Danio rerio: one gene and its partners. The protein of the gene in region 3 purifies or fractionates together with the protein of the main gene of each other region. This does not show direct contact. Links are inferred from orthologs where the notes say so. Each region holds a gene or a part of one and is shown on either strand. Other genes may lie near its edges.

Region 1 (8,472 bases), on a different chromosome or scaffold from region 3:
CTACAGAACAAACAACCGCTACACAATAACTTGCCTAATTACCCTAACCTGCCTAGTTAACCTAATTGACCTAGTTAAGCCTTTAAATGTCACTTTAAGCTGTATAGAAGTGTCTTGAAAAATATCTAGTCAAATATTTTTTACTGTCATCATGGCAAAGATAAAACAAATCCGGTATTAAAAAAATAAATAGTTATTAAAACTAATGTTTAGAAATGTGGTGAAAAAAATCTTCTCTCCGTTAAACAGAAATTGGGAAAAAAAATAAACATGGCTCATAATTCAGGGGGGCTAATCATTCTGACTTTAACTATATTTATATATATATATATATATATATATATATATATATATATAGTTATATAACCAGGCCCGGATTGGCTAATCGGGAGGACTGGGAGAATTCCCGGTGGGCCGGTCAGTTTGTTGGCTGCGAGGGCCGGTGTTCCTAGCTCCAGAATCTGTTGCTATCAGCAGTCACACTTTTTAAAAATAATTTATTTATTTACTTGACCACAGCCTTCTTATTCATTATTTTACCGCAGCTCTGCTCTTTTAATCTTTTTATCTTTTTAGCCTGCAGGTTAATGTTGATATACCTAGATAAGTCACCATTCAGTGTACAGCTGTTGTGGTACAGTGGTTAATACCACCAACCCGGGTTCGGACCTCGTCTGGGGGATAATTTTTTTTTTTCCATTTTTATTGATAAGACATATAATACTGTAAGGGTTGTTGAACATTTGAAGTTCTAAAACAGCTGTTTTCTCAAAAAAAGACTTGATAGTGTAATTAGAAACTGAATTGAAAATGACCTTATTTTAATATAGTCAGTGGTGAACAGAGGTGGGCCGGTCTAAGGCTTGAAACTCCAGGGCTGAAAAAGAGTCCCACTCCAGCCCTGTATATAACCCATATAATCTATGGAAGCCAATGGCTGTTTTTTCCAACATGCTTCAGTATATCTTCCACCATGTTCAGCAGAAGAGGAAAAAACTAAAGTGGATCAAGTGGAGGATGGAGGAGTAAGTGATGGCAGAATTTTCACTTTGGGGTCAACTATCAATTGAATAAGATGATATTCCATTTTTTCCTGTTAAAATTTACAAATTTGATTGGAAACAAAGCAACATCTGACTTGAAGTTGAAAATAAGATTTCAACAAACAATAGAAGACAATTATACAAGAACTCATCATGACACGATGACTGGTTTCTGTGCATTTAGTCTTTAAAATTATTTCTAAGCTCACTCACCAATTAATATCCAGATTAACTGCTCCAAGCCACTCCAAGAAACGATGTGGGTCACATGACAGCGTCTTTCCTTGTATATCCGATGGGTAAAGTGTGGGACACTGAATATTTTTCAGGATGTGCTGGCTGAAAACAGGCTTGTGCTCCTTGTATGTGTAACGGGACAGCAGCGCATGAAGAACTTCGTCTTCATCAGAACCTGATAAGGTTTAGAATACAAACAGCAAACGCAAATGAAAAATCCATCACAAAAGCCAGTGATGGTAATAATGCATTCCCTACAAACCTGTGTTGTACTTGGTGAAAAGAAAGTCATATTTGAGTGGAAGTCTGTCTTTTAAAGATGACAGAACCCGCTGGTATCGTTTGGTGCCTGGAGCCAAGCTTTTATCCGTGAGGTCAAGAGTCACAACTACAAAAATAAAGACATTGAAGAATTGTAATACTGTTTAATGAATAGTAGTTCATTTCATGCTGCTCAGAGTAAAGAAATTTACCAAATCTCAGAGCCTTTCTGTGATTATACTGGGATGGTCGGCCCTCCAAGCCAAGTTGCTCGTACGTGTCTTTATTTAAAGACAAAATGAACTGACCTGGGGGGAGAAATGTGGCAAATCAACATGGATACTAAAAACTTTATAATATGGAATTATTAATAACATTTTCAAATCATTAAACCAAATAGGGTTAATGCAGATGGACTTTTAATTTTTTTGTAACCCAGCTCAATTGATTTCCGTAGAACAGTATGGTGTTACAAAATCACCGCATTTAAGGTGTTATCTTTAAAAATCTTTACTGCCTGACTGAAATACGATATAAAGTGGGTCTTAGACTGTACAAGAAGCACTGCATTCAATTCCATTGTCCTGTGCCATGACTTTAAAATAAGAACATTTCTTTTACCACAGTATTTTCAATGGTGTTTCTGTGTTCATGACCTGTGCTCTGTGCATTTTCCACTTGAACAACTAAATGAATACTTAAGTCTATTTAACTGATTATATTTTAATTACATTACAACATAATGCTGTAAAAGGTACTGTATGAAATTTAAAACAGTCACATATAGCCTTCACTAGGCATTTATTGGGGGTTAAAAAACACTAGCTGTGCATATTCACCTTATTTTTCGTGTACAAGGGGGTGCCGTCTTTTTGGCTCGAAACTTCGGGCCTCAATCACTTCCATTGACTTTAAACAACATTCTGCTGCTTAATGTTGAACACTGATATTGTCTTATTATATTATTCTGCTTTGTCAGCATAGTCATGAACACACTTGTTTGTAGAGCATGTAGTTTGACTGTTTTTTGTCATTTATTATTCGTAGTAATTTCTACCATTGGCAACTGAATCGGATGTTCTAAAACAATCCCAAAAACGAGCACACTTCTGCATTGAGGAATAAGGTCAATAAACCATTATTTTTTTTTTTTTTATAAAAAAAAAACAATGAATTATTTTAGGGATTATGTATATTCAGCCTGTTGATTTACATTGTTGATTTTTTTGTTGAATACCAGCAATATATGGTACTGTAAAGTTACAGTTCACCCAAAAATGACAATTTCTACCATTGGCAACTGAATCGGAAGTTCTAAAACAATCCCAAAAACAAGCACACTTCTGCATTGAGGAATAAGGTCAATACATCATTAATATATTTATTTGTTTAAATAAAAAAACAATTACTTATTTTAGGGAATATGTATGTTTTTGGCCTGTTGATTTTGCACAATACCAGCAATATATGGTACTGTTAAGTTACAGTTCACCCTAAAATGACAATTCTGTTTTCTCTTGTCATCATTCAGCTTTCACTTGTTCCAAACCCGTTTCAGTTTATTTCTTCTACTGAACATGAATAAAGATATTATAAACAATGTTGACGACTTGTAATCATTGCCTTCTAGCGCATTTATTTCTCCTATCACTGGCTACCAGTTTCAGGCATTTAAAAAAAAAGTTTTTCTTTTGTCTTCAACAAATGCAAAGTTTGAAACCACTTGACAGTGTTTAATTGATAAGTAATGCATTTCAATTTCAATATAATCAATAAAAAGTGACATAAAGTGGAAAAAGATGCTCAGATAAGAATAAAAAATCTCAGAATGCCACAAATAAGCAAAAGCGTGTATTATAGAGTTGTTTATTAATAATAAACGCAGTGCTTGGATTACAGAACATCACTGGCTTATATATATATATATATATATATATATATATATATATATATATATATATATATATATATATATATATATATATATAGTTGATGTCAGAATTATTCAACCCCTGTTTATTTTTTTCCCCGTTTTTTTCCCAACACATTTCTAAACACAATAGTTTTAATAACTGATCTCTAATAACTGATTTTTTTTATCTTTGCCATGATGAAAGTAAGTAATATTTGACTAGATATTTTTCACGACACTTCTATACATCTTTAAGTGACATCTAAAGGCTTAACTAGGTTAATTAGGTTAACTAGGTAGGTTAGGGTAATTAGGCAAGTTATTGTATAACGGAGGTTTGTTCGAAAAAAAATATAGCCTAAAAACTGTTACAGAAATTGATATTGTTGTACTCAACATTTTTCGTTTGTTCTGTTTGAAAGATTTTATTTATTCTTTTCATGCAGATGAGTGCAGATTTTACATTTTTATTTTATTATCTTTAACTTCTTAAAACTATTTCTTTCCATTAAATTATAAAGATAAAATATTATGTTGTCTGAATGTCATCTTGTTGTCATATTATTGGTTTTCTTTGCAAGACAAATTTAAAGTCATTTAAAGTACTGAATGAATTAACCTGATTAACTCAGTTCAATAAAATAAAGCAGCTTTGTTAGAATCACAGCACAAGTGCATGTCTTACCACTGGAAAGAAGTGCAATGGAATTATCTTCATCAATTTTGGTGTTGTAAGAGAGTGCATAGAAATGTCCTGTGTAAAAATAAATGAATAAATAAAAATCAGTAACAGATTCTTACATTCACATAAACACTTTAGCTAAAAATAAGAAATAATTCTTTTTCAGCATTGTTAACTTTAATGTTAGTAAACATAAAATAGCTACCTTTTGTTTTTGCTCATGTTAGTTCACAAGCTTACAAGTCACAACTGTTTAAGACTGTTTAGTCCAGCTGCCATCATCTTATTGCTCACAATCTCACTTGCAAGACTTTTAGTCTTGTTGTTTGTGATTGTTGTACAATGCATGCAATGTTTCTATATGTTGTGTTCTATATACAGTATGTGACTAATGTGTGTATTATTATTCTAATTATTAGTATTAGTGTGAACAAACAGCTCTGGATTAATACACATTGAAACAATCTGAAATGAACCAATGCTGTATACGTCTTTAGCTCGTGTTATGTAGCGTATTACACAAAAACGTTAGCAATGGACATTTCTTGAACCTTTCTTCACGAGCGACTCCAGAAATGTTTCTTCCAGCAGTTCATATACAGGCAGGTCCCGCACTAAATAATAAGGGCTGAAGCTGCTGAAGGCACTGCTGATGTTAGCAGGCAGGATCCCGCATTCAGGAATCAGCACTGAGGTCTGCGGGAAACGCATTCCCTTAGTAAACCATCACGGTCAATGTTTACAATCAAAGTCGCTATGCTGAGCACATGTCTCGTGTTGAAACTTGCCTTGTAGTTAAAGCTGTGCTTCGACACGTGGATGTCATGCCGAGACTTTTCATTCAAGAAGTTTGATTTCTCGCACACCAGCAGGTTTCTCGGGCACTTTTCCAGCTCTGGCGACATTTTAATATCTGTACAAAATACTTACATTGTTGTTACATCAAGCAGCGAAATAAAGAAACGAGTTTATTACACTAAACTGCATCGGCGCGCCTGTTTAATGTTTCAAAATAGTGGCAACTTCGCCTGTCGCAAAGGTTTGACGTCAGTTCCTGCTGTCAGCAGAACTCGAGCAGCAGTTCGCGAGTCTTTGAAAACGATAAAATAATATAACTGATAAAATATTATTTAATTTTATTTGGAAAAAATTGTATCCATTATATAAAAAAATCGGTAATTATGAATAGCTTTGAGAATGGGGGTCTTAATATGCTGGATTTTTGTACATTTAATAATACTATCAAAATTAAATGGGGAAAATTTTTCTCAAAAATCCAACCTCAATCTGGAATTTTATTCCAAATTACATATTTTCTAAATTTGGAGGGCTTAATTTCTTATTACTCTGTAACTATAATGTTGAGAAAATACCAGCTAAATTATCTCAATTTCATAAACAATTTCTTCTTGCCTGGTCACTATTATACAAGCACAACTTTTCTCCTCACAAATATTTTATTTGGAACAACCTAAAGATTGTATATAAAAACAAATCTCTTTTCTTTCAGCGCTGGTTTGAAGCAAATATTCTGCTTGTTAGTCAATTATTTAACTCAAATGGCCATTTATTAAATTATAACGAATTTCTTAATCGATTCAATATACCCATCCCCCCTAAAGAATTTGCTGTGGTATTTGATGCTATACCATCTGGTGTTATTAGATTATTCCAAGGCATCCCCTATCCTTCTGTTTTACCTCTTTTAGACCCTTCTACTACAATGATTGGAAAATGTTGTTTCTCTGCAACTTCTTCAAACAAAACAATACGTTTTTTATAATGGAACTGTATCAGTTCCAAATGTTACTTTTTATTGGAATTCTTTTGTTTCGGATATTGATTGGAGAAAAATATGGCTCACCCCAAATAACTACTTAATTACAAATAAGATAAAAGAAGTTTCATTCAGAATTATTCACCGTACATACCCAGTCAATACTCTTTTAGTACGATATAAAAAAGATCTTAATATTAATTGTTCATTTTGTGGGCAGCACCCTGAGTCCCTGGTTCACTTATTTTGGCAATGCAATTACACTAGGTTGCTTTGGAAAGACTTCTCACTTTTTATAATTGAGAATGTTGATGAGGAATTTTCCTTGCTGTGGGAGAATGTTTTATTTGGTTTTGTTGATTATGGAACGGGGACTTTACATAAAAAGAAAAAATATTTTCTTAATCTTCTTGTCTTATTAACAAAATTTTATATCCATAAATGTAAATTTTCAAACCAAAAACCTTTTTTTTATATTTTGCTTACTGAAATGCAGTATTACTTTGAAACAGTGTCTAACTCTTTTACAAAAAAGGCTTTAAAAACAACTGAAATTTGTAAATTATATAATCTTTTTCTTTAACTTGTAATGTATTTACCCCTCCTGTTTTTTTTTTTGTTATCTGTTGTTGTTTCTTATTCCAAAATTGTTGCTCTTTTTGTCTCTTCGATTTCTTGTTAACATACTGTGATTATATTCTCATTTTCGTATATTAATAAAAAAAGAGTCTTTGAAAACGACCTTTACTTCATAATCAACAGTTGATAGGTGTTTTATCCTTTTATATTTGTTACCATTATTTATTAGAAATAGACTAGACGTTGTTAGTTATTTTCCCCCATTCCTTTTTATTATATTTTAACATGTACATACTCATTTCAATGTACCAGATATAACATAAATCAACAAGCAAACAAATGAACAAACAAAACAAAATGCCTCTCAGTGTTTTACATCAGAATACAATATCACCTCTTTTACTAATCTAATAAAAACATTTCCAACTCCACCACCCTTTAACAACAAAATAAAAGGTCCCAAACTAAAAAAATATATGTGTATTTATTTCTTAATATAGATTTTTTTTTCATTGACATGTTATCATCTCTTTCAGTCAACGGCCTATATTTGATGCACACATATTTGTCCAGTTTAAGGAAATAAGCCGTTTTGCTTGCAGAATACATATATTGCGCCATCAAGTGTAAACAGATCCACGTGCAGAAAAATGTGCTCCCCCTGACATGTGCGCACAATCACTCAGCATGTCGTCATCGTGTTTCTGCGCTATAGGCAATGATTGACAGGACGTCTTCTAGGTTAACAGTAACATATGAGGCTTTAAAAGACTTGTTATTATTATCATCCTTTATGTTTATAGTAGTTTTAGTATTATAAGCGATGAATTTCAGTAGCTATATTATTTCGTCATACTGTCCATCCGTTTATAGGCTGAGATAAATATAAATTATCAAACAATTATTCTTAAAACAGTGTATTTAATCAAAATGAATAGCAAATATTTCAAAAGACAGCTAATAGAATTAAGATTAACCTTATAACAATATAACTAATAATAATATTGATTTAATTTCATTTATTCAATAACCAATATGCCGATTATGTAAGAGGCCTTGGCTATCTATTTTTAAATTTCAATTTTGCTTATTGGTCAGCATCACCGAAGTGTTTGTAAATGATGACGTTGCTTTGACGCAACTCATGCGCTCGTAGTATTTGTCCAGCATCTTTCTTACGCAAAGTCTACAGGTCCAGTTTTGTTATATTTGAAAGGCTTTCTGTTCCTCATTTACAGCAGCCTCATTCAATATGATGAACGCTAATGAGGAAACTCAACCTTCAAACGAGACCGAGGCTCTGCCTGAACCAAAACACGCGTCAAAATATGATCAGGTGTCACGCTTTTCACCTGAAACTGTACAAATGGACAGACAAAGAGCCAAATCTCTGCCTGCAGATCTGTATCAGGACGAATCTTCCTCACACAATCGAAAGAGAGTGCAGTTTGCGGACATGATGGGGCTGAACCTGGAAAACGTCAGACACTTTTCTGACGATGCCTATGAAACATCTGCACTTCGGAATCCTCCATCAATACAAGAGCTTCAGCAGCGAGTAACGTTACTTCCGCTTTTTAAATTTCCCGTGAGTTTGTCTGAGTTTGACTTGAAGTCTCGCCGTCTTGGAGTCGCGCTGGAGAGTGTCTCAATAACCGCTTCTGAAGTGAAGGGTGTGATTAGAGTTACACAGAGATACGCAGGAAGAATGGAAGTTGGAGTCAGGTTTACTTCAAATAACTGGCTGACCTATGCGGATATACAGGCTTCACTGAAAATGAATGAAGAAGAGCTGCCCTGGGATCAGTTCGACTTTACTTTGAAAGCGCCGCTCAGTTCTGTGCAAGACTCGTCGATGAATTTCGCAGTTTATTGTCGGACTGATCACGGAGAATACTGGGACAATAATGATGGACAGAACTACAGCTTGAGGATTCAGACTACCTGACTATTTACATCCTTTAATGTTCCTTCAATAAAG
Region 2 (7,962 bases), on a different chromosome or scaffold from region 3:
GTTCTGAGTGCAGTGAATTGCATTAATCAGACACTGAATAATGAACGTGATGTTTCTCACCCTGCTGGTTTTTCCGGGTCACTATTCTCAGCACATTTGAACGTCACTCTTTTGGCACTTGACAATGCTGGTCCTGCAGCCACTGGAGAAACGGGGGGTGCTTTTCCACGTCGCTCCTCCTCTGCTAAAAGATCCCGGAAGGAGCAGGAGGAGAGCGATGGCTGGACCGCTGTCGACCTGAAAACAGTCAAATAAAGCTAAATGTCTTATGTATTACGTCATAATTATAGGTAAAAAATACAAACTGCTTGTTGAATATTAGCAATATATTGTAATATATTTAAAATACCTATAAGGTATTAGAGGAAATAATAATAAAAGGAAAAAAAACATTTGTTACATGAAATGGATAACATCATATGCTTAAAAAAAAAAAAAAAAAAAAGTTAAATGATGTCCTGAAACCCAAATAATAATAATAATAATAATAATAATAATAATATTAACAATTATTATTACTATTATTATTATATTATTAATTGTTTAATTATGTGCTAAAACCCAAATAATAATAATAATAATAATAATAATAATAATAATAATAATAATAGTAAATTATTATTATTATTATTACTATTATTATTATTATTATTATATTATTAATTGTTTAATTATGTGCTAAAACCCAAATAATAATAATAATAATAATAATAATAATAATATAATAGTAAATTATTATTATTATTATTATTATTATTATTATTATATTAATTGTTTAATTATGTGCTAAACCCAAATAATAATAATAATAATAATAATAAAAAAAATTAATATTATAATAATTGTTTAATTATGTGCTGAAACCAATTTTATTATTATGAATATTATTATAAACATCAAATTACAAAAACTAAGAAAAATATCAACATGAGATTTTAAAATAATAATTAAAAAAAATGTTACACTTTAAACTATTTGCTTACATACCATACTTGGATCAAACTATATTTTTAATGCATAGTGCATTATGATTTTATCTTAATTCTTAAATGCATTAAGTAATATTGTGCATTAATAATTATCTGTATTTGGCATGGAACTAATAATGTTACCAAAATATCACTACAAGGTTTAGAAGATGCTAGAACATTTAGCATTAATACCAATTGGAAAGAGAGGAAATGGTCAAATCTCTCACCAGGTTTTCACAGGTTTGATGGGCGCAGCAGGCGGTGGTGATTTGGCAGAGACGCTCTCAGTGCTGCCCTCTCTGGACGCCTGAGCCAACATCTTCCTCTGCTTCTGGGACAGTTTACTGGGAATGATGGAGATCTTGCTGCTGCTGCTCGATCTGGAGTTCATGCAAACAATATGTAGAGAAAAAGAGCGGGGGGAAAATAGATAGATATTAAAGTTTACTTTCAACAGGCTTTCTTAAGCCACCATAGATTATTTAGTTTGAAAAAGTATCAAGTTGGTCAAAACCAACATAAATTAAAAAGCATGTTACATTATATTATAACGCATGGATTAGCATATTGTAACACAATTCTGTTGTTAGCGTGTTTCCAACATGAGTCTACATGATTTTAATATAAATAAGCATTGTTAGCATGATTCCAGCATGAATTAGCATGTTGTTAGCATGCTAATTCACGCTAGAATCATGTTTACTATGGTTACACATGAATTAATCTCCAGTTTTTAAACAGGCTATGGATTAAAGCTAACAATATTGTAAATAATGTTTAATTCCACTTCATTAGCTTGAATTATGGAATCATAACCGTTGGATTATGAATCTAACATGAATTAGCATGTTTCTAACATGAATTGACATGTTGTTAGCATGTTTCTAGCTTGAATTAACTTATTGCTAAGATGTTCTGGCAAGAATTAGCATGTTGTTAGCATGTTTCTCCAGTCTTTAGACAGGCTGTCAATTCAAGCTAATAATATTGTACAAAATGTTTAACTTCACTTCATTAGACCTTCATTAGCATGTTGTTAGCATGATACCAACATGAACTAGTATGTTGTAAGCATGTTTCTAGATTGAATTATCTAGTTGCAAGGATGTTTCTGGGATGAATTAGCATGTTGTTAGCATGTTTCTCAAGTCTTTTAACGGGCTGTTAATTAAAACTAATAATATTGTACAGAATGCTTAATTTCACTCCATTAGACCCTCATTAGCATGCTGTTAGCATGATTCCAACATGAATTAGCATGTTGTTAGCATGATTCCAACTTGAATTAGCATGTTGTTAGCATGTTACTCCAGTCTTTAGACAGGCTGTCAATCAAATTAATAATATTGTAAATAATGTTTAATTTTACTTCATTAGACCTCATCAGCATGTTGTTAGTATGATTACAACGTGAATTAGCATGTTGTTACCATGTTTACAGTTTGAATTAACTAGTTGCTAGGATGTTTCTGACATAAATTAGCATGTTGTTAGCATGTTTCTCAAGTCTTTAAACAGGCTGTCAATTCAAGCTAATAATATTGTACAGAATGCTAAATTTCACTTCATTCAACTTTCATTAGCATGTTGTTAGCATGATTCCAACAAGAATTAGCATGTTGTTAGCATGATGCTAGCTTGAATTAACTTGTTGCTAGGATGTTCTGGCATGAATTAGCATGTTGTTAGCAGTTTCTAATTTGAATAAACATCCTTTTCCAGTGATGGGTTGTAGCTGGAAGGGCATTCGCTGCAATAAACGTGCTGGATAAGTTGGCGGTTCATTCCGCTGTGGCGATCCCTGATTAATAAAGAGACTTAGCCGAAAAGACAATTAAATAGACCTTCATTAGCACGTTGTTAGCATGATTCCAACAGGAGTTAGCTTGTTGTTAGCATGTTTCCAGTTTGAACTAGCATGCTGTTAGCATGTTTCTAGCAAGAATTAACATGTTGCTAGAATGTTTCTAGCATGAATTAGCATGTTGCTAGCATGTTTCAAATGATTCCGTGTAAACTATCATGACTAACACGTGTCATAATAACACAATATGAGAAGATTTCCGCAATAAGCAGTTTAGCTGTCTGAACCAGACACATGACAGATTTGGGTTTGCAGTCACAGCTCTGATGTTCATGCAATATTTACGAATAACTCATAGCCCCCTCATCAACTATTCCCCACTAACCCGCTGATGGCTTTAGGAGTGGCGCCCAGATTCAGAGAGTTCGCCTCCATCTCCATGATGGCCCTGAGGTCCAGGACAGGAGCTGGTCTGGAGACACAGAAACATTCAGAATAACAGCGAAACAGAGAGGGAGTCTCTGCTTCTTGCTGTGAGAGAGAAGTTCAGTCACCTGGCTTTGACCGTAGGGATGTGTTCAGGAGTGGAAGACTGGACAGGCACAGGGCCGTTCTTCAAAACAGGGGTTCCCGGAGGAGTCTTCAGTCCTGCCGGTCCACGTCTCTCATCCTGCCAACATGAATACATAGAGTTCAAGTTTGTTTAATACAGGGGTTTTCAACTGGTTTGGCCATGGCACCCACATTTTTACATGGTCATCAAGCCGCGACCCAAATTTTTAGGAATTATAATATGATTTTAGGAATTATAATTCATTTGTATTTAATTGTTAACATACACAACTAGTGACAGATAAATTTTGAGAAAATCACCAAGACTTACAAATAAACAATATTTTATTGCTCTCATTTAACAAAATGTATCAAATTATAGAAATATTACAGAGTAAAAATGTCAAATACTGTAAACAGTGGTTAGTGTACGGAAAAGTTCAGTTACCATTAACTAAACTGAACTGTTTATAAAACATTAACACTGATCTGGTTGAACTGAACAGAAACCAGCAAACTGAAGTAAAATTATTAAAATAATCATAACCATTTTATAATAATCAGCAGTTATTTGCTGTTCTGCTTTTGTGTGGGCTTTCTTGGCCTTTGCTACACGGTGAGCACAGTAAGATGTACTTGTACTAGTTTTGAACATGAATATGTTCGGCACTTTTGTGATGCCCTCAGCTACTAGAGTCGTCTTAGAAAATAACCCACTGGTTTTTCCTTGCAACTGGGATGTTTGGTTTCTAAATGTCGTTTTAATTTAAGTTTCATTTCTCTCGTGAAAGCACCTCACTACATATGACACACTGAGGTTTAAAGCCTTTTTGTCGTGAAAATATTTAAATCCACACTTTACATATTCGGGGTCGTACTTGCGCTGGAATTTCACATGTCAAAAGGGTATATGCGGAGCTAACGTTAGTGTTGTTCCCATACTGATAAACTTCCGGTGACCTGTTATTGTGAACTTTTTTTCCCATTTTATACGGTTCCTTTTACATCATCGATGTTGTAACGTCATTAAAATACATTCATTTAGTTGCTCAAGCGTAAAACGAGAAAAAAAGCCATTTACTCGTACACGCCCCTCAGAATCAGCAGGCTAGCGCAGAAGCTCCATTAAATATACTGGGGTAAAATAAATGCTCATATTATAAAGACATGGTGGGGGAAATGTAATTTAATGCAGTGCTTCTTGTACAATCTGAGGCCCACTTTATATCGGATATCACTCAGCCAGTGGAGATCGCTGATTTTTAAAGAAAACAGACCTTAAACTCGCCGGTTTTTGCATTGCAGTTCGCCAAAAGCGCTTAACCAAGGTTACTGGCAAATAAAAAAAGTCCCACTTAGCATGCTTCGGCACGCGCATTTCAAAATAAAAGTCCGATATAAGTAAAATAAGTTAAATAATAAACTTTTGTTGTTTTTTTGATCACACACTCCGCGACCCACTCAAAATGTTCCCGCGACCCACCAGTTGAGAAACACTGGTTTAATACACTACCTGAAAAAAGGCTTGTCATTGATCCCAGTTGTAAGAGCAACAAATAATAACTTGACTTCTAGTTGATCATTTGGAAGAGGTAGATTTTTCCCATGAATCATCTGTTGAACAGCATCTCAATCATCACTAATACTGCAGAAGAATTACTGGAACCAGCATGGACTGCCCATTACATTACAAACCACAGGAGAGGGACAATTCTCCAGCAGGATAGCGCTCTTTCTCATACTTCAGCCTCCACATCAAAGCTCCTGAAAGCAAAGAAGGTCAAGGTGCTCCAGGATTGGCCAGCCCAGTCACTAAACATGAACATTATTGAGCATGTCTGGGGTAAGATGAAGGAGGAGGCATTGAAGATGAATGCAAAGAATCTTGAAAGTCCTGCAAGAACGCTTTCTTTGCTATTCCAGATGACTTTATTAATCAGTGATTTGAGTCATTGCAGAGATGTATGGATGCAGTCCTCCAAGCTCATGATGGAGTCAGACACAATATTCATTCTGTCTCCACTGCAGCATGACTTTATATTCTATACTGGACATTATTTCTGTTCAGTGACGACTTTTGTCCAAGCAAAGTCAGACCTTACTGTCCTAATTAAATCATTTAAAGTCAAGGTATCTTGCTCTAGAGTCCTTTGCCTTTCATATAAGCCACTTCTGATAGCAAATGATCAACTAGAAGGTATTATTTGTTCTTAAAACTTGAATAGGCGACAAGACTTTTGTCAGGTAGTGTACATTATAGCTTGTATTTATACGGGTGGGAAGCAATGAATGCATGTTTATAAATGAGACCCCAGGTGTGTTGTGATCACCTGAAAGACCGGAGACTGCAGGTCTCGAGGACTTCCCACAGCCATATAACTGCCCTCAGAGTCAGACATGATGAGCTCCTGCAGAGAGTCTACTGAGCTGGCCTTCACTGAATTACCCAAACCTGCGCAAAAAAACAATCATGTAAAACATACAGCATACAAACTAAAAGCATTTCTATTCAGGAATAGGCCTGTACAAATGACGTTTGTGTGCGCTGCAGATCATTAACTCTCAAAGATTAACTTGTATAAATGAACAGTTGAAGTCCTTATTAGTCCTCCTGATTTATTAGAACTAAAAATTCAGCTAAAAACCTAGTTTCTACTGAAAGAAAAACAAGTCACCCATAACTTCAATGGCCTGAGAGTGAGTGAACTAACAGTAAATGTTCTTTTTTGGGTAAACTATCAATTCAAGACAAGATTGAGCAAGTTAACCTGGAGTGGGCGGGCTCTGAGTGACATAATTAGGAGGGCTCTGGATGACGTCGTTAGGAGAGCTCTGGATGATGTCAGACAGGTTGTATCCACCAGAGCTGTCGGAGCGGCGCCGCGGTTTCTTCTTAGCCCTCATCTTGGCCTTCTTTAGCAGACTTTCACTAGATTAAACACAGTGAACACTCTGTATACAGATGAACAGCTCTACACAGACATGTTTCAGTGTTTAGGAAGGGTAGATTTCACACCTGGAGTGATCGGCTTCAGATGTGCTTTTACAGTCCACAGCGGAGTCCCACTCTTGGTCCTCGTAGGCGCTGAGATCCGGAGCGTCGGCATACGGCGTGATCAGCCGTCTCTGCATGGCTGGGATCTGAGAGAGCAGACTGAGGTCAGGATTTCTGAACAGAGCTTTTAAGGGCCGGGACACACCAAGCCAATGCCAAACAACAAGCTCCAACAAAAAGCAACCGTGTTGTCTGCTTGCGTTTGGCCCTGTCTGGAGCAAACAGATGCTTGTGAACACACCAAATGGACCGCAGCCAACCGAAACAAGAGCATTAAGATTTTTTTCCCAACACATTTCTAAACATAACTCATTTCTAATAACCGATTTATTTTATCTTTGCCATGATGACAGTACATAATATTTGACTAGATATTTTTCAAGATACTAGTATTCACCTTAAAGCAACATTTAAAGGCTTAATTAGGTTTGTTCTGTAGACTATTTGACTAGAAATATTGCTTAAGAGGGCTAATAATATTAACCTTAAAATAGTTTTATAAAAATATTCTAGCCAAAATAAAACAAATTGGAAAAAAAAAAATATTATAGGAAATACTTCCTTGGGTAAACAATTTTGAATGTGTATTTCCGCACTAGATATCTGTTCTCTCATTCCGCAAAAGAAAACAGGAAGAAACACAAAGTATAAACAAAGCAGTGTTTATTACTTTTGTAGCGTTTACTACTACTATCGTCACCGTTATTGTCACACATCATGGAGGGACTGGTTTATGCAATATCTAATAAATATTTGAGAAATGTACAGCTGGTCTCTTTGTGTTCTTTCTTTATTTTATATGTTTACAAGCTACACCTCTTTAGTTTTTTGATCTTGTTATTCAGCAACCAATCAGAGTGCTCTCTTCAGCCAACAACCGAAGCTGATTCTACACATAGATATATACATTAGATGTCGCCTGGCCTATTGTTGTCTATTGGACGGAATGAGTCAATAGCACCGCCATCTTGGTACAGGGTAGCGCTCCTTTAAAATGAATGCAGGACCAAGGTTCAGTGGAGGACTGTGGCCATCCAAAGCCAGAGATATACACATATATCTATGATCGGGAGCTTTCCTGGATGTTAGTATGTAATTTTTTTTTCTAATTAGGAAAATTATAATTTTACATCACTTTTCTACATTGATGGATCAGTGATCGCACGGGCATTCCTGACAAAAAGCTTGTGTTTGTGTGTACAGAAATGTACTATCCACCCTGCCTGTTTAATTTGATCTAATCATGTCCTGAAACACAGCTCCTCTCCTGCTTTCACTTCTCATACTGAAGGAGGGAGCGATTCGTTTGTGAATGAATCCCCCGAACGACTCTTTCACTAACGTTAGCCGACAATAACACAAGTTTCTGGCAGCGCAGCATCTCATTGTCATATTTCTTTTGCATTGTTTGCTGATTTTATTCAACAAAACTAGCATAAGCCGAGTGTTTAGTGCGAGTTGGAGCTACTTTGCCTTATAGTGAATGCAGTGACTGTCATCATCAATAACGTTACCTGATTAGCACAAAAGTTCAGAACATACAAAAACAGAAAAAAACTTAATATTACCTATGAAATGTT
Region 3 (7,543 bases):
ACATTTTGTTGCTGTTTTTCTGGACTTGTTTGTAGTCTTTCGTAAATAGCCAGTTTTTTTTACATCTGTCAATCAGTCAGTCTGAATGCAACAAAGTATGTTTGTAGATGTTTTTTCCTGTTATTTTGCTGTTTTTGTGGTTCTTTCATCACAACGCTGTTTGGTTTTCAAATACACAGTATTATTCTTAGCTACAAACATAGTGAAAACAAGAAGAGTGGAAGTTTTTGTCTTATGAAGCATCTCTAGTGAGAATGAACCAAAACACTGTAAATACATGTGATTCCAAAGTGTATTTGATATGAAAGCAAGTACTTTTTTTTAGCTATTATGGAGAGGAATATAGGCATACATTATGCCTAAGCCATAACTGGATTATAAAATAAGTAATGGATTTTTGTCATGTTGTTTCTTCTGATGGAGTTTAGTCACACCACTAAATATTTTTGAACACATCTTTGTGTCTTTTTATTCACCTTGGCTTGTAGTTCTGGCCATCAAGAATGGCTAAACAAGACTCGAATTACTAGTCTACTTCTGAACATCAACAAAGCATCCATTGTAAATAACCATTGCCAAATATTTCAGTTTAGAGGACCATCTATAGGCGAAAAGAAATTTTGAGAAAAACAAAACAGCTCATTTTCCAATTATTTCTAAGATTTATTATTATTGTGGATGGCTCAGTGTTTAGCTCTGTCACCACAGTTAGTATTTCTCTGTGGAGTTTTCATGTTCTCCCCATGTTAACAAGGGGTTTCCTCCAAGTGCTCCGGTTTCCCCCACAGTCCATAGACATGCAGTATGGGAACTGGAAAATGAATTTGATGAACTAAATTGGTTGTTTTTGTGTGTGTGTGTGTGTGTGTGTGTGTGTGTGTGTGTGTGTGTGTGTGTGTGTGTGTGTGTGTGCGGATGCTTCCCAGTACTGGGTTGCGGCTGTGTGTGCATCCAGTCTAAAACTTATGCTGGAAACGTTGGTGGTTCATTCCGCTGTGGCGACCCCTGATAAATAAGGGACTAAGCCGAAGGAAAATGAATGAATTATTATTATTATTTTAAAATATTTATCTTAACAATGTGCCTTTTATTTACTTTCTATCGTTTATACCTTTAGTGGCCCCTTTATTAGGTACATCTTGCTTCTTCGTAACGCAAATATCAAACCAGCCAGTCACATCACAGCAGCTCAGTGCACTGAAGCATGTAAACGTAATCCAAAAAAATTCAAATCAGACTTTGCCGATTCAAGACAGTCTGGTCTGAGAATTTCAGTAGCTGCTGATTTACACAAAACCATTACTAGGTCTGCAGAGAATGCTTCGAAAAAGAGAAAACACCCAGCAAACACCAGTTGTGTTTGCAAAAATGCTTTGTTTGAGGCCAAAAGACAGAGGGAAATGTCAAGACTGGTATGAGCTCATAGAAAACAGCAACTCAAATAACCACTTGTTACAATCCGTATCTACGGATAAGTGGATCTATTCTGCCTCGATTCAGTAGTTCAGGGTTTTGTGCAGTAAAATGGTGTGGCTAATATTTTCTTGGGTGCTTTAGTAACAATTGACTATCATTTAAACGCCACAGCCTACCTGAGTATTGTTGCTACTCATCTATCTGTAACCACAGTCAATCAGTGTTGTAATGGCTACTTCCAGAAGGATAATACCTGGTAATATGCTAAATGCATCCATCATAAACAGAAATGCAATGTGGTCAAAGAGAAATCGATGCCTTTTTTAAGCCAAAAGGGAGCCTAACATGGTACTGGCAAGGCTATTAATTAATTATTAAAATGCATTTATTTTTCCTATTAAAACTAAGATAGATTTGATGAAAATGTTTAAATGTGTGTGTGTGTGTGTGTATGTATGTATGTATATATATATATATATATATATATATATATATATATATATATATATATATATATATATTTATTTATTTATTTTTATTTTTATTTATTTTTTTTTTTTACCTTTATTATATACTGGTTTGCCATCATTATATTCTTATTAATAGGACAGTTCACCCAAAAGTGAAAATTTACTCACAATCACTTGGTTTCATACCTTTATGAGATTCCTCTTTCTGTTGAACATTAAAGAAGATATTTTGAAAAATGTTATAATGTTGTAACTATCGACTTCCAAAGTAGAAATCAAACACTATGGAAGTCAATGGTCACAGTTTTGTAAATTTTCTTCTTATTTCTTGTTCAACAGAAACAAAAACTCAAACAAGTTTCTGACAGGTAAAGGGATGAAGAAAATTATGAGAGAATTTTCAGTTTTGGGTGAACTATCCCTTTTATAAAATTAATAATAATAATATCTAAAATATATTGTTGTCTTAATATGCATACACATGCAGGAAGATACAATCAACAAAGTGTTGGTGGGGCTGTTTACTTTGCATTTAAGCTGTTTACTTTCCATTTAAGTTTACTATACACAAGAACACAAATACATAGTAGAAAAAAATACATATGGCACATTTCTTTCTTGTTTTTCAAATAAAACATTCAATAACACAGCAATTAATTAAAAAAAAAGTCTTGAAGCAGAAAAAAATCATAAATAATGCATCACTTTAAAAAACTTCTACATGCCACTAACGTCATACAATTGTTCATGAAGCCCTCATTCATTATATTGACACTGAAGCTGAAACTACGGATTGGGGTAAAACACCTTGATATGGATGGCCGAGTTATTCCGGGTACGGGTCAGATGCTCTCCGGCCTCGTCCGGATCTTCAGGCTCCAGGTCGTCGATGAGCTCCACCGTGGAGGTGTTTGCGGCGAGTTGCAGGGCGCCCTGGCTGGACGTCTGGAGCTGCAGAGCGATGTTTATAGCCCGGTTGATGGCCAGTCCCAGGCCGTGGATGCAGATTTCCCTGTGAGCGTCCAGAAGTTTCTGACACCTCGCTAGCTGAGCCTTGAAGTCAGTCTTCATGTTGACATAGACGTCGTTCCTCCGTTTGGGCAGTTTGCGAGGCAGTCGCTTGCGGAGGGTGAACTCTATTGGGTCCATCTCAAGGGTCGAGCCCTCGGGGGCAGCCAGGACTATTGGATTGTGGGGCACAGAAGCGGACACCGGGCTTCGTGGCTCAGCCATGTCGAATCACCTGAAAGGTGCTGCACAAACAGAACATTAATTCGCGTTTTAAAGATAAGACTCGTAACAATTTTACATATAAATGATGTGTGAATTATATTTTAACGACATGTATTTAAACGATTCCCCACAATGAACCGACTCATATGAATCATCCATTCGTGAATGGCTATATACACTGGGCGTGCATTATATTTCAGGGTATAACGCTGTATATTAAATAAGATATTACATCCACATCACATTCGAGAAACATTTTGTTTACGAAGCAGGTTCTCATTTACACAAACATTTCCAATTCATTGCCACTTAAGTTAGTGGATATAGATTTTAATATATAATGTTTGATGTATAATTTGGGATTTTGAGTAAGAGTAGTACCTTGAATTAGAAGAGCTTGTTTCAGATCCGCGCTTAATTCCTGGTAGATAAAGAATCTGCTTATTTACAGATCTGTCTTATCTCTCATTCCGGAAGACGTCTTGCGTACACTGGAAGTAATACACTATGTGATTACAAAATACATACTGTTCTTTTCTTGGTGGGGAAATATCTATTTTTATTTCGTATATCAAATAGTTATAATTGAATCCTAATTAAAAATATATATGAGTTAAAATACGTAAAAATATAAAAGTACCTGTATGAACGAGATCGTTGCTAATCAGTAAATATAGTTAGTGTCTCTTATTTTGAAAATAGAAACAGTTTAGCGGCACGGTGTGTATGGTGGTACAGTCACTCAGCGTTAGTTTGCTAGATGTAATCTAAACTTCATAAAACCCCTGTTTAATCAGTACTGTTTGTTTATTTGCTGTTTAGCTCGTTTAATTTAAGCCATGTCGGACACATGGAGTCACATCCAGGCGCACAAAAAGCAGCTGGATTCACTACGAGAGAGGCTGCAGAGGAGAAGAAAAGACCCAACTCAACTGGGCACTGGTGTGTTGAGTAATTTTACATTATCTGATATCTGAAAAATAAAATGTGTATTTTTAACTGTTTGTGTGATATGTAAAAACAAAGAAGACAGTTTTATGATTTTTATTATCATATCACTTTTTAAATGTATTAAAAATTGTAAAACATCCAGGGCATATCTTTATCGTTAACAATAAAATAAGAGATAATGATGATATGTACAGGCAACGTCGTGAGTTGTATGCTCAAGCAAATATGTAGGTGAGAGAACGTTATGTATTAATAACAGGTTAAGATAAGTCCCTTTAGAGCAAATTGTAATTGTTTTTATACAGCTCTTTTGTGGTTTTACGTTTAGCTGAAAGAGTCTCCTTAAGCTGCAGGTTGTGTAAAATGACTATGAGGATTGTGCTTCATTTTTTTATTATTCTGTTAGGCAAGAGTACAACCATTCCCTGCTTTAATGACAAATGTGATGTATGAATTTATTTGTCAGCTGGAGAACATACATAACAATATGTTGTTGACAAATCCTAGACCTAAAGATGTTCGATATCAGTCCTCTGTGAGAAATATTAGCGTAACTGTTATTTTTAATGTATAATGTATAATTAATGTATCATTTTCAATGTAAAATTATATAACTTACTATTTTCCCAGTGTTGTGTTGCAGCTAGAAGGACATCCCGCTTCATTCCGCTGTGGCGACCCCAAATTAATAAAGGGACTAATCCGAAAAGAAAATGAATGAATGAATAATTTACTGTTTTGCATGTTATTGTGTGTTTTCTTTCTTTTCTTGTTTTATTTGCTAAACATTAAACTACCTTTGTAAACCACGTTTCTGATATAATCAGATTTATTTACTTGAATTCAAATGCTAAACGTGGAAATATCTAATACTATCAGAAGTGTACTATCAAAATGGTAAAAACATTTGAATGTATGCTAAAAGAAAGTTCAGCGGTGTCGAAATAGTGAGTCTATGATGCCACCTGCTGTATGAGAATTTCCTAACAGTTCTTATTTTAACAGAGGTTGGAAGTGTTGAGAGTGGATCTGCAAGAAGTGACAGCCCGGGACCAGCAATTCAGAGTCCTCCACAAGTAGAAGTTGAGCATCCTCCAGACCCAGAGCTAGAGAAGAGGCTGCTGGGATACCTCTCTGAACTGAGCCTTTCCCTGCCAACTGATTCCCTAACGATCACCAACCAGCTAAATACAGTAAGAGCTGTGTGCACTAACAGCTATGAATCTGAACCCATATCTTTTTATTATTATTATTATTATTATTATTATTATTATTAATAATATTATTCCACCCTTTTTTAGAATAACTGTTAGATTGTCAAAAAGTGTTAAAGGAATACTACTCTTTTTTTTTTTTTTTTAATAGACTCATTTAACAAGACCCCAAGAGTTAAACTGTTACGATTTTAATCATAGATATCTATGTGGAGCACTTTTAGCTTAGCTTAGCTTAGCATAGATAATTGAATCAGATTAGACTATTAGCATCTTGCTCAAAAAAAGTATTTTGATTATTTTCCTATTTAAAGCTTGACTCTTCTGTAGTTACATTGTGTAACAAGACTGACAGAAAATGAAAAGTTGCTATTTTTTAGGCTTATTAGTCTAATAAATAGCATTCTGGCATAACAATTAACAAACTTTACTGTTACTTTTATCAATAGTGCTGTGTAATGTCATTGCGCCTGCTGCGTCCATGGTACGACAGTAAAATTCTTTTGATTATTATGGCCGAATGAGAGTATAGTTCAGAGCCATATCCACGTCTTGGTGTTACTAGAGAAGTAAAGCTTTAATATTATCGAAGTTATTGACATTTATTTATATATTTAAGTTTCAAACAAGACGCTAAGGGTCTAATTTAATTCAATGATTTATGCTAAGCTAAGCTAAAAGCAGCCAGACCCAGAGAATGACTGAATTGATTCTTAAAACTCAACTGTTTAACTCTAGGGGAGCTGATAAATGAATCTATTTTTTAAAAAAGTGGTTTCTATTAAATAAATTGAGAGACTCAAATATGTTTGTGATTTCTCTTCAATTTTCATTCACAGTCTGAGTCTCCAGTTTCCCATTCCTGCATTCAAAGTCTCCTTCTTAAATTTTCTGCTCAAGAGCTTATTGAAGTTCGGCAGCCATCCATCACCTCCTCTTCGTCCTCCACCCTCGTCACGTCAGTCGACCATACCAAACTATGGGCTATGATTGGCAGCGCAGGCCAGTCACAGAGAACTGCCGTTAAAAGGAAAGCAGACGACATCACTCATCAAAAAAGAGCCCTGGGCTCCTCCCCTTCGATTCAAGCACCGCCTTCTCCTCCAAGGAAATCCTCAGTCTCATTGGCTACTGCCTCAATCTCGCAACTCACTGCATCCTCTGGGGGAGGAGGGGGTGGAGCTGATAAAAAGGGGCGGAGCAATAAGGTGCAAGCATCTCACCTGGATATGGAGATTGAAAGTCTACTGAGCCAGCAATCCACTAAGGAACAGCAAAGCAAAAAGGTATAATAATGAAGCAAAACAGCATGCTAAAGCCACTGTGATTTAAATGTTTGCGGTGTATTTATGTGTGCTTGTGTGTCAGGTGAGCCAAGAGATCCTAGAGCTGCTGAATACCAGTTCAGCAAAAGAACAGTCGATTGTGGAGAAGTTTCGCTCACGAGGCAGAGCTCAAGTTCAGGAGTTCTGTGATTATGGAACCAAAGAAGAGTGTGTGCAGTCGGGGGACACTCCTCAGCCCTGCACCAAGCTGCACTTCAGGTCAGTTCACATTAAAGAAGAATAAGAATAATGATGAATATAAATGATAACCATTCAAAATTTAAATATATAAATATAATAATAATTACAACAATACATTTAGGACTTAAATTTATATTAAATAGTGAAAGATTTGACAGTACACTAATTTTTCAATTCTGTTTATCCACAGTACCGACTTCACAATATTTTATAGCTTTCATAATAGTTTATTTTTAGTGATTAATTTTTCAAAACATATGGTAAATGCTTATTACAATGGTTTATATTGTTTTATTTATTTAGTGTTTGTTTGTCTGTTTGTTAATAGTTTTTACACCAAAATCTAAATATTCATGAATTTGCTTTGCTAAAAATAAGGAATTATATTAGACGTGTATTTGTGCACTTGTCCCTGACTGCATTGAAAGTTTTGTATTTTATTTAAGATTATTAATTGTTTTAATTTATTAATAAATAATGTTAATATACATAATAATAAAGAGTTAAAAGTGCGACCCTTTGGCTTTACCATATCTAAAGTACAGTTACCATTATTAAATCAAGATGAAATAAAAAAAATTATAATAATCTTTTCTAATATCGTTTTTGCATTTTAACTTTACACTCTGATAATAAAAAAAAAAACGTCTCTGTATTTTACATCGATGTTTATGACCTCTCTTCTTATACTTCAATCAACACATTTCTAACTCCACTACATTTTAGTAAAAAC
Region 4 (8,046 bases), on a different chromosome or scaffold from region 3:
CAAGGCATTTGCGCCCACAGAATTGCAGCTCACTGGATGTTTTCTCTTCTTTGGACCATTCTCTTTAAACCCTAGAGATGGTTGTGCGTGAAAATCCCAGGAGATCAGCAGTTTCTAAAATACTTAGACCAGCCCTTTCTTCCCTATTCTGATGCTCAGTTTAAACTGCAGCAGATCGTCTTGACCATGTCTATATGCCTAAATGCATCAAGTTGCTGCCATGTGATTGGCTCATAAGAAATTTGCGTTACAAGAGCAATTGGACAGGTGTACCTAATAAAGTGGCCAGTGAGTAGGTTATGCCATACAAATGCCATACAAAATCAGTATCATAGGAGTGTGTTTTAACTCTCTTCTCCATGCTCCGCAGGTTGGCCTTGTTTTACAGTAACTGGCTGCTGCTTGTTGGATGCCGACTGATTTCAGAGGTCCACCTTGAATTCTCAGACTTGGACGTAATCGATATAAAGAGGAAAAACTGACATCCATTCAAAGTGAATGAGTTCTGTTGTGCAGCTCTCTTAGGTCTTGTTCCAGTTCCTGAGGGCTTTCCCTCCTTTCTCTTTGTCTTTGACTCTCTTTCTGAGAATGTGAGAAACATTTATCAAGGTCAAACACATCTACAAGCTGCACATACATACACACACATGCAGATACACACACATACACAACCGTAGTGTTTATTTTCCTCAACATGCAATCTGTCTCCTCTCTCAGAACATGTTTATTCCCATGGTTTTTGTCTTTTTGTTCATTTGTTTTGTACTATGAAGGAGTGTTGATACATTTGTGTGAATTAGCAAGCTGTACATTTAATGCCAGATATTTATTACGTATTGTGAGGTTTACAACGGAACAGGAACATGGGTCGAAATCCAAAGTCTTTTGTATGGAGCTGCCTTTGAATTCATACAGCATTCTGAGTTTCTGTCTGTTTGCGGAGCGAGTAAATGGTTACACGTGTGGAGGAATGTATTGCGTTTTGAAGCACAACATCAACTTGTTTATAAAAGGGCCGGACTGCTCTGAGGTGCATTTGTAAGAATATGATGTTTTGTTTTAGGGTTTGTGTGTCCAAAAGAAACATTTCGAATTTTGAATGTGAATTCATTTCCATTTCTTTTTTCATGAAGGCATGATTGTTAGCTTCTTTTCCCCCACTCGTTTCTGTTCTTTACCATCTAGTGTTTCTAAATCATCATTTTAGCTAAACAATTCTGATATTTAGAATTGTGCTTAAGTTACTTGTTACATTTTATTCTCCACTTTCTTTGCTCTCTCAGTATTTGCAGTGAACCATAACCTCATTTGACTGGTGCGTTTTCTCGATCAGGTCCTGATCGTTTTGCTATTTTTAAGCACAAGAAGAGCTGAACAATCATATGTGCGTTTTCATTTTGATATAAGCGTTTCTCCTAATGCTTTTGGTGATGCGGTCAGGAAAGCTTGCTTGCTGTTTCAGTTACAATCACTGATGAAGCTTAATGAACGTTAATGTGAACGTTATTCTTCAGCAGAAGCTGGTTTTGCTTTCATGGTTTGCTTTAATGTTTCTGAATCTACAATTTGCTTTTAAATAAGCGCACGTCCAGTCAGGCTTCAAAAGAAAGGTACTCCTCTCAAAGTCGCACATTTCAGTCAGTGGTTTCGTTCAATAACGTCATCAAGGGCACTTTTTTGCGAATGTCAGTTTGCATATGTTTTTTCTAAGGCTTGCTGAATGAACTGAGCATGAATCCTTTTCCCCCCTCGAGCTGTATGGTTTTTTGAATTTATGGGTTATGGTGAGAACACCTAAAGTACTTGCCTTATTTCAGAGAGGTTGTTTTTTTTTAAACGTTTAACTTGTGTAGTTTTAAACGATCAGCTTTCTCTTTCTGAAGACAGTATTTTTATTGAACTCCATTGCAGGATGGAACTGATGGGAACAAGTACCAGCACCATGTCAAACAAGACAGTCCACCCGAATATCTAATTGTCAAAAATAATATACATCAAGGTATACCAGCATGGATATTTGACTGAATAAAAGCATCCAAAATGTAAAACGCTACTCAGTTGGGGCTTTTTATTTTTCATAACCATCACATATACTTAATAAAAATGTGTGTCCAAGCCAAGTATTTAGTAGCCTAAGCAAATATTGAAGTTAAGAAAAAGGCCTTTCTTTTTTTTTTTTTTTTTTGAGATTCTGAAGAATTATCTTAACAAGGGTGTCAAAACTCGGTCCTGGAGGGTTGGTGTCCTGCATACTTCATTTCCAACCCCAGTTAAACATACCTGAACCAGCTTATCAAGTGGTTTAGGTATACTAGAAACTTTCAGGCAGGTGTGTGGAAGTTGGGAGCTAAACTATGCGGGACACCAGCCCAGAGTTTGGACAGCCCTGTCTTAAAAAATGAAAGAAGTTTAATGTTAAGTGAACCTATAATGGTTCACTCAACATTAACATTAAACTTCTTTCCCCCTTCAGTGGTTTATGAATTTAACGACTCTGGTGGTAAGAATACCCAAAGTATCTGCCAAATTTCAAAAAAGGTGTCTTTACAAATGCCAAAATTGTGTAGTTTTAAATGATCAGCTTTCTTAAAGACCATCAAATATGACAGTCCACCAATCACAATGTAAAATACACTCACAAAATCATCACAAACTATTGAAAATATAAATATAATAAACGTGTTTACACATTCTTCATTCATAGAATGCAGGTTAAACAACTTTTTTCTGTTTTTTCAGTTTGGGTTTCCTAATTTTCGTTGGATTCGGAATGATTTTCTTTACTTTTAGAGGCTGGAGAACCAAAGGAGATGCATCACTCGACAGCTCTTCTAGTTTCCTCTTCTGTCCGATTTCTGTGCGCTTTTCTTTGGTTGTTGGTGTTGAGTCTGTCTGAATCCACGCCACGGGGAGCTGTGGGACCATCGGTGTGATGGCGCGGACCGTATTCTCGAACTCCTCGGACCCGCGTCTGAAGCCCAGTGCCAGGACGCACTTGAGGCCGAGCAGCTCCGACAGGCTTCCACTCAAACCGGGTACCTGGCAGGCGGGCACCGACCTGGTTTTACTCAGCGGGATTAAATGGCTCGTCATGTGAGCTGGGGTGACCGAGTTACACACGAGCACCAAACTCAGCTCGTTCCTTTCTAGGCCCTTGGTGACCTCGTTGATGCCGATGGCGAGCTGTTTCCTCAGGGCCAGATTGGTCCAGCCCGGCTCGGGGGTTTGCACGCTCTCTGCGGGTTCAGAAGCTGGGTTTTGCTCTTCGGTGGGTTTTGATGCCTTTTTTCTGGACCTCCTTCTGCTTCCCCAATCGCGAAACCGGCTGACACGCTCTTTCCGAAGCCCGGTGGCGGATAATTTTTCTTTCAGAGTGTCAAGTATTAAATGTTTGTGTTGTTTTTGTAAGAGGTCACTCCAGCCAATGTTGTACGGGTTATTCAGGGATGTTTTGACTGGTATCGGCTTCTTTTTTTCTTTCTTCGTTGCTCCTTTCGCTGGGGTCGACATTATTGCTGGAAAGCTTGAAATGTTCAAAAACTAGCATTACAAATCACGTTAAACTCAACGAGGCATGTAGCCTATAAACAACTTAGTATTCATAACAACCAAGAAGACACAGCAAAAATGATATACAAACCTAATTAACTAGCCAGAAATGAAGATTTCCTCAGCTCAACATCTACAGCGTGTACTAAGTTGTGTGTGCAGACATGTTGTTATTGAAGGTCTTCTTCTGTGGTTAATAGTTCAGGGTTTGTAATGCACACACTGCCATCTAGTGAATGTTTCCGAAAGAGCTTTTCGGTTGTAATTTGTCATAAACGTAAACAGTCAGGCCAGACCATTTATAAATCTTATAAACACCTTGATTTTTTTGGCCAAATTTCATATTTATAAGAGCAAGTTTTGTAAGTGTAAACCTTTTTTTCCTAAATTCAAAATTGAAATGAAAATGTATTTTGAGTGTATTGCGGGATCAACAAACTTAAAAGCAATACGAACAGACTTTGATGAAGGACTTTTAACTTATCTTGGACTAAATGACTGAAAACCCCTGGATTGTTGTTGTTTTATTGATGACATTTGTTGTTAATGTTTTTCAAGCCTTCAATTTAAAAATCGTATAAACGTAACAGCTCATAGATAGCATGAAATCAGTGACTAATAATAATATTAGTGAGGATTAATAAATATTAATATTGATAGTGATTGCTTTGTTTTAAACTGATGAGCACTTAATTAAGAGATAAATGTATTGTTTGGACTAAATTGAAAATAATAAGCTAGTAAAAAAAGGCAGTAAAGAGTATATGATCTGTATACCTTTTTATCATTATGAGTCAAAGGCAAGATGTTTCATTTTGGTATCTGCATCATTTAGTTTGCAAAAAAAAAAATGCAAATAAAGTGACTACATGGTAATGCTACGAAACAACTTTGAAAATAAATGTTGAAATGTAGTTTAATTTTCTGTTGTAATCTAGGATAATGTTTATAACTATGAAAAATTAAACAGCATTATTCTAGTCTGTTAAAACAAATAATATCATATTTTATTGAAGATTACATGTTTTTATTCCTTTATGGAATTTCGTTTTTCCTTTTTAGAGGTTTGAAGGATTATGGGTAAATCTAGACATTTAAAAATGCACTTAATGATCCACAATTAGCCACAATCAGACTTTAATGTCATCATATAATTGTAACAATATTTGTTTTATTACATATATATATATATATATATATATATATATATATATATATATATATATATATATATATATATATATATATATATATATATATATATATATATATATATAAAACTATTGTTAGACTTAAAATGTCATTGAATAATTGTGACAAGATTTGTTTTTACAGGAGGTTACACCATCTGAATGACATTTTAGTATCTCCTCTAAACCTAAATAATAAGGTCATAAAGCAAAGAATATATGATCTCTCTTTTTATGATTATGGGTCAAAGGCAGGACATCCCATTTTGATATCAGCATCATATTAAATTCACAAAACAGAATGCAAATAAAGTTTTAAAATCAACTTGTTTTAAAATCAATGTTGAAATACGGGAAAATGTTCTATTCTCATTTGGGATAATGGATATTATTATGAAAAATGAAACAGCATACTTACTCTGGACTGTAATTATATAAAAGAATGAGTGATCATAAAATTATTTTTAAAAATGTAAGATTACAATTTTGCTATTCCTCTATTTCCAAGAGGTTTGAAGAATAATAGTAAATATAACCATTTAAAAATCAAATGAATTGTAATTGATAAGACAATTAATGTCATAAAATAATTGTAACAACATTTTTTTATAATAAATAGACTGTCTGAATAACATTTTAGTGTCTCCTGTAAATCATGGTAAAAATAATGAGCCGTTGTTTTTTTCTAGGGATTTTTTTAACAGCATTGGTGTATATTTGAGTTTTTTAAATTGTATTTTTTTTTATCTAAAATTGAAGTATTTAATTCAGAAACAAATGTTCTAATTGGAAAATTATAACTTCATAAAGTAATGCATGATCTACCTTTTATGATTATGAGTCATAGGCAATACAAATAAAGTGACTGTTTTGTAAATCATGCCACAAAAACGTGAAAATAAATGTTGAGTGTAATTTTTTTCTATACTGTTCCTAAATATATACATATAGTGATCATATTAAATGAATAAGTGATCATATTAAATGTTATTATATTTTAATTTATTTGAAATTAGACTTTCAAAATTATTTTATACCTAGAGAGGTAAAATATAAAAATATATAGCTATAAAAATGAAACAGTCAATATTATTTAGTCCAATTCATGTTTATTTATATAGCACTTTTGCTGTTACATTTTTGAGGCTAATTTGTAATCAAATAATTCCTCTCCTAATTTTGCCTGACACGATTTTACTATAGTTATTTTCACAGTTGCTTTTACTCAGAATAATATTTAAATATATTCTAATTCGAATCCATTTGAATGCATAATTTTATTTGTCATGTTACGCAAACCTGCTGTTCGTGCAAGCGAATGAGTAATAAATGCGTTCACCCTAAAAATGATGAACAATCTGCGGGTCTCACCATCGGATGTTCCATCAGCCAATCAGCGCTCAGCTCCTCTCTCCCACAGCGGTGTCACCGTAAACTCGATTCATCAGTGCATCTACGCTACGCTCAAGCCGACATCACAGCCGCTCAACACTCGCCTAAGAAAATGACTTTAAAGGTACATAACTGCTCTTTCCTATAATATCACATCCATTGCACATATTGAGATACGAATCATGAATCCAAACTATTTGGATATTCTTTAAAGTCCAACCGCTGGATAAATATAAGTAGGATTTTAAAGATGACGCGGTGTATTATTATAATGCTGTATCATATTCTGCTGCATATGCACAAGGCTATGCTATATTTATATGAATACGCTTTTAGCATTTGTATTGCACACGTAGATTTTTTATCTGCAGCTTCTGGATGTGCACTCGTCAGTGAGTTACGTCATTCGTCGCTCATCTTTGCTTTAGTATGAAGTTGCGCTATGCGTATCTTATACACAAATTGTTCGTTTTGTATTAGAGTCTTGTGGAGTTGGCCCTCAACATGGCAACCCATAGCTTGTAGGTTTATAATGGTACAAAGGGCACAATGTTGGCAACATGCAACTATTAGTTCATTGTGGCAATAAAACAAAAGGCTTCATACAGTGCGCGAATAATACACGATGCAAAGTGATTAAGGAAGTGCTTAGTGGGGCAAAATGGGTCAGACCTACCAAGCTTTTTGCAGTTGTTACCAGCAGATAAGCATTATGAGAATTAACGCTGAAGTCATGATGTTTGTGGCTACAGGCAGAATTCGATCAATATGCAGAGGATGTGAAGAAAGTCAAGACCAGACCTACAGACCAGGAGCTGCTGGATTTGTACGGCCTCTACAAACAAGCTGTTGTTGGGGATATTAATATTGGTAGGAACCGATTAATTTGATTTGTTTGGTTTTGTTTTTAAATCCATATTATATAAATCCAAATATTTTAAATTAAACCATCAGTTGCAGATAAACTGAGAATTTTTAAGAGGTCTCATATTTTGCTGTTGTTCCATTTCTACACACACACACACACACACACACACACACACACACACACACACACACACACAGAAAACTATATTTATGTAGTAGTTTATCTCCAATAATTATTTATTTACTCCATTTATAAGTTTATTGTTATGAAAAATACACAAGAATATTATTTTAAAATATTGTAAAAAAACATATACAACAATGTTGTACTTTTGTTGTACAACAAAGTACAATAAATAATAATAATAATTTATGTCAATGTGTAAGTGGGTTTCCAGTTGCAAATTATTGATTATTTTTAATTATTTTATTAATTTAATTATAAATTTTGTTTAATTTAGTTTCCAAATCATTTCTAATGTGCACATTTATAAAGTTGAACATAAAATGTCTTTGATTTTTTTATTTATTTATTTATTTATTTTTCAGGACCATTTAACCTGTTCAATGCATGATTTTTGTGTGTTTATGTAGTAAATGTTCCTGCATTCTGATAAGCAAAGGAATTAATAAAGAAAACATTTTAAGTCATAGATGTGACAGGACAGCACCAGCGTCATCTTCCTGAGCTTGACATTTGAATCTAATAATATGATGTCTTTCTTCACTTTTCATTGCTTTAAAACTTGTTTTAACACATTTAATCAGTTTTTTATCTGTTTTAAATCTGTTTTATTTTTTGTTGTTTTTATTTTCTTGTTTCTTTTGTCCTTGTTTATGTAAAGCACTTTAAATTACCATTGTGTATTAAATGTGATATAACCTTGCCTTGCCAATAATTCTGAATGTGTATGTTCTGCTTTGTGTAGATAAACCTGGGATGATCGATTTGAAAGGGAAAGCCAAATGGGATGCATGGGATTCAAGGAAAGGTAATGAATAAACACTGTTAAAAATATTTATTATTATATAATATCTGTTATAATAG

Evidence for each region.
Region 1: the proteins of pop7 (region 3) and rpp40 purify together in Homo sapiens (co-immunoprecipitation; 4 studies listed by BioGRID and IntAct, with this or other methods). This does not show direct contact. The link is inferred for Danio rerio from reciprocal best matches to the Homo sapiens genes POP7 and RPP40.
Region 2: the proteins of pop7 (region 3) and ibtk purify together in Homo sapiens (affinity purification with mass spectrometry; 3 studies listed by BioGRID and IntAct, with this or other methods). This does not show direct contact. The link is inferred for Danio rerio from reciprocal best matches to the Homo sapiens genes POP7 and IBTK.
Region 4: the proteins of pop7 (region 3) and rpp38 purify together in Homo sapiens (co-immunoprecipitation; 3 studies listed by BioGRID and IntAct, with this or other methods). This does not show direct contact. The link is inferred for Danio rerio from reciprocal best matches to the Homo sapiens genes POP7 and RPP38.

Annotation. Positions count from the first base shown.
Region 1 is NC_133177.1:26,939,087-26,947,558, reverse strand, and holds the start of rpp40 (ribonuclease P protein subunit p40), read right to left. Parts: upstream 5,110-8,472; 5' UTR 5,041-5,109; coding exon 4,924-5,040; intron 4,832-4,923; coding exon 4,687-4,831; intron 4,208-4,686; coding exon 4,139-4,207; intron 1,850-4,138; coding exon 1,754-1,849; intron 1,669-1,753; coding exon 1,543-1,668; intron 1,456-1,542; coding exon 1,257-1,455; intron 1-1,256. UniProt on the Homo sapiens protein: Component of ribonuclease P, a ribonucleoprotein complex that generates mature tRNA molecules by cleaving their 5'-ends. Also a component of the MRP ribonuclease complex, which cleaves pre-rRNA sequences.
Region 2 is NC_133191.1:5,091,273-5,099,234, reverse strand, and holds part of ibtk (inhibitor of Bruton tyrosine kinase), read right to left. Parts: intron 6,469-7,962; coding exon 6,344-6,468; intron 6,257-6,343; coding exon 6,096-6,256; intron 5,780-6,095; coding exon 5,658-5,779; intron 3,446-5,657; coding exon 3,330-3,445; intron 3,248-3,329; coding exon 3,161-3,247; intron 1,352-3,160; coding exon 1,199-1,351; intron 238-1,198; coding exon 61-237; intron 1-60. UniProt on the Homo sapiens protein: Acts as an inhibitor of BTK tyrosine kinase activity, thereby playing a role in B-cell development. Down-regulates BTK kinase activity, leading to interference with BTK-mediated calcium mobilization and NF-kappa-B-driven transcription.
Region 3 is NC_133182.1:21,868,232-21,875,774, reverse strand, and holds pop7 (ribonuclease P protein subunit p20), read right to left. Parts: upstream 3,575-7,543; 5' UTR 3,501-3,574; intron 3,140-3,500; 5' UTR 3,120-3,139; coding exon 2,673-3,119; 3' UTR 2,407-2,672; downstream 1-2,406. Other genes in the region: N(6)-adenosine-methyltransferase subunit METTL3, read left to right, coding at 3,959-4,061, 5,076-5,263, 6,124-6,570, 6,653-6,828. UniProt on the Homo sapiens protein: Component of ribonuclease P, a ribonucleoprotein complex that generates mature tRNA molecules by cleaving their 5'-ends. Also a component of the MRP ribonuclease complex, which cleaves pre-rRNA sequences.
Region 4 is NC_133191.1:31,717,629-31,725,674, forward strand, and holds rpp38 (ribonuclease P protein subunit p38), read right to left. Parts: upstream 3,748-8,046; 5' UTR 3,641-3,747; intron 3,524-3,640; 5' UTR 3,511-3,523; coding exon 2,713-3,510; 3' UTR 2,054-2,712; downstream 1-2,053. Other genes in the region: nmt2 (glycylpeptide N-tetradecanoyltransferase 2), read left to right, coding at 371-391; acbd7 (acyl-CoA-binding domain-containing protein 7), read left to right, coding at 6,244-6,255, 6,884-7,001, 7,928-7,990. UniProt on the Homo sapiens protein: Component of ribonuclease P, a ribonucleoprotein complex that generates mature tRNA molecules by cleaving their 5'-ends. Also a component of the MRP ribonuclease complex, which cleaves pre-rRNA sequences.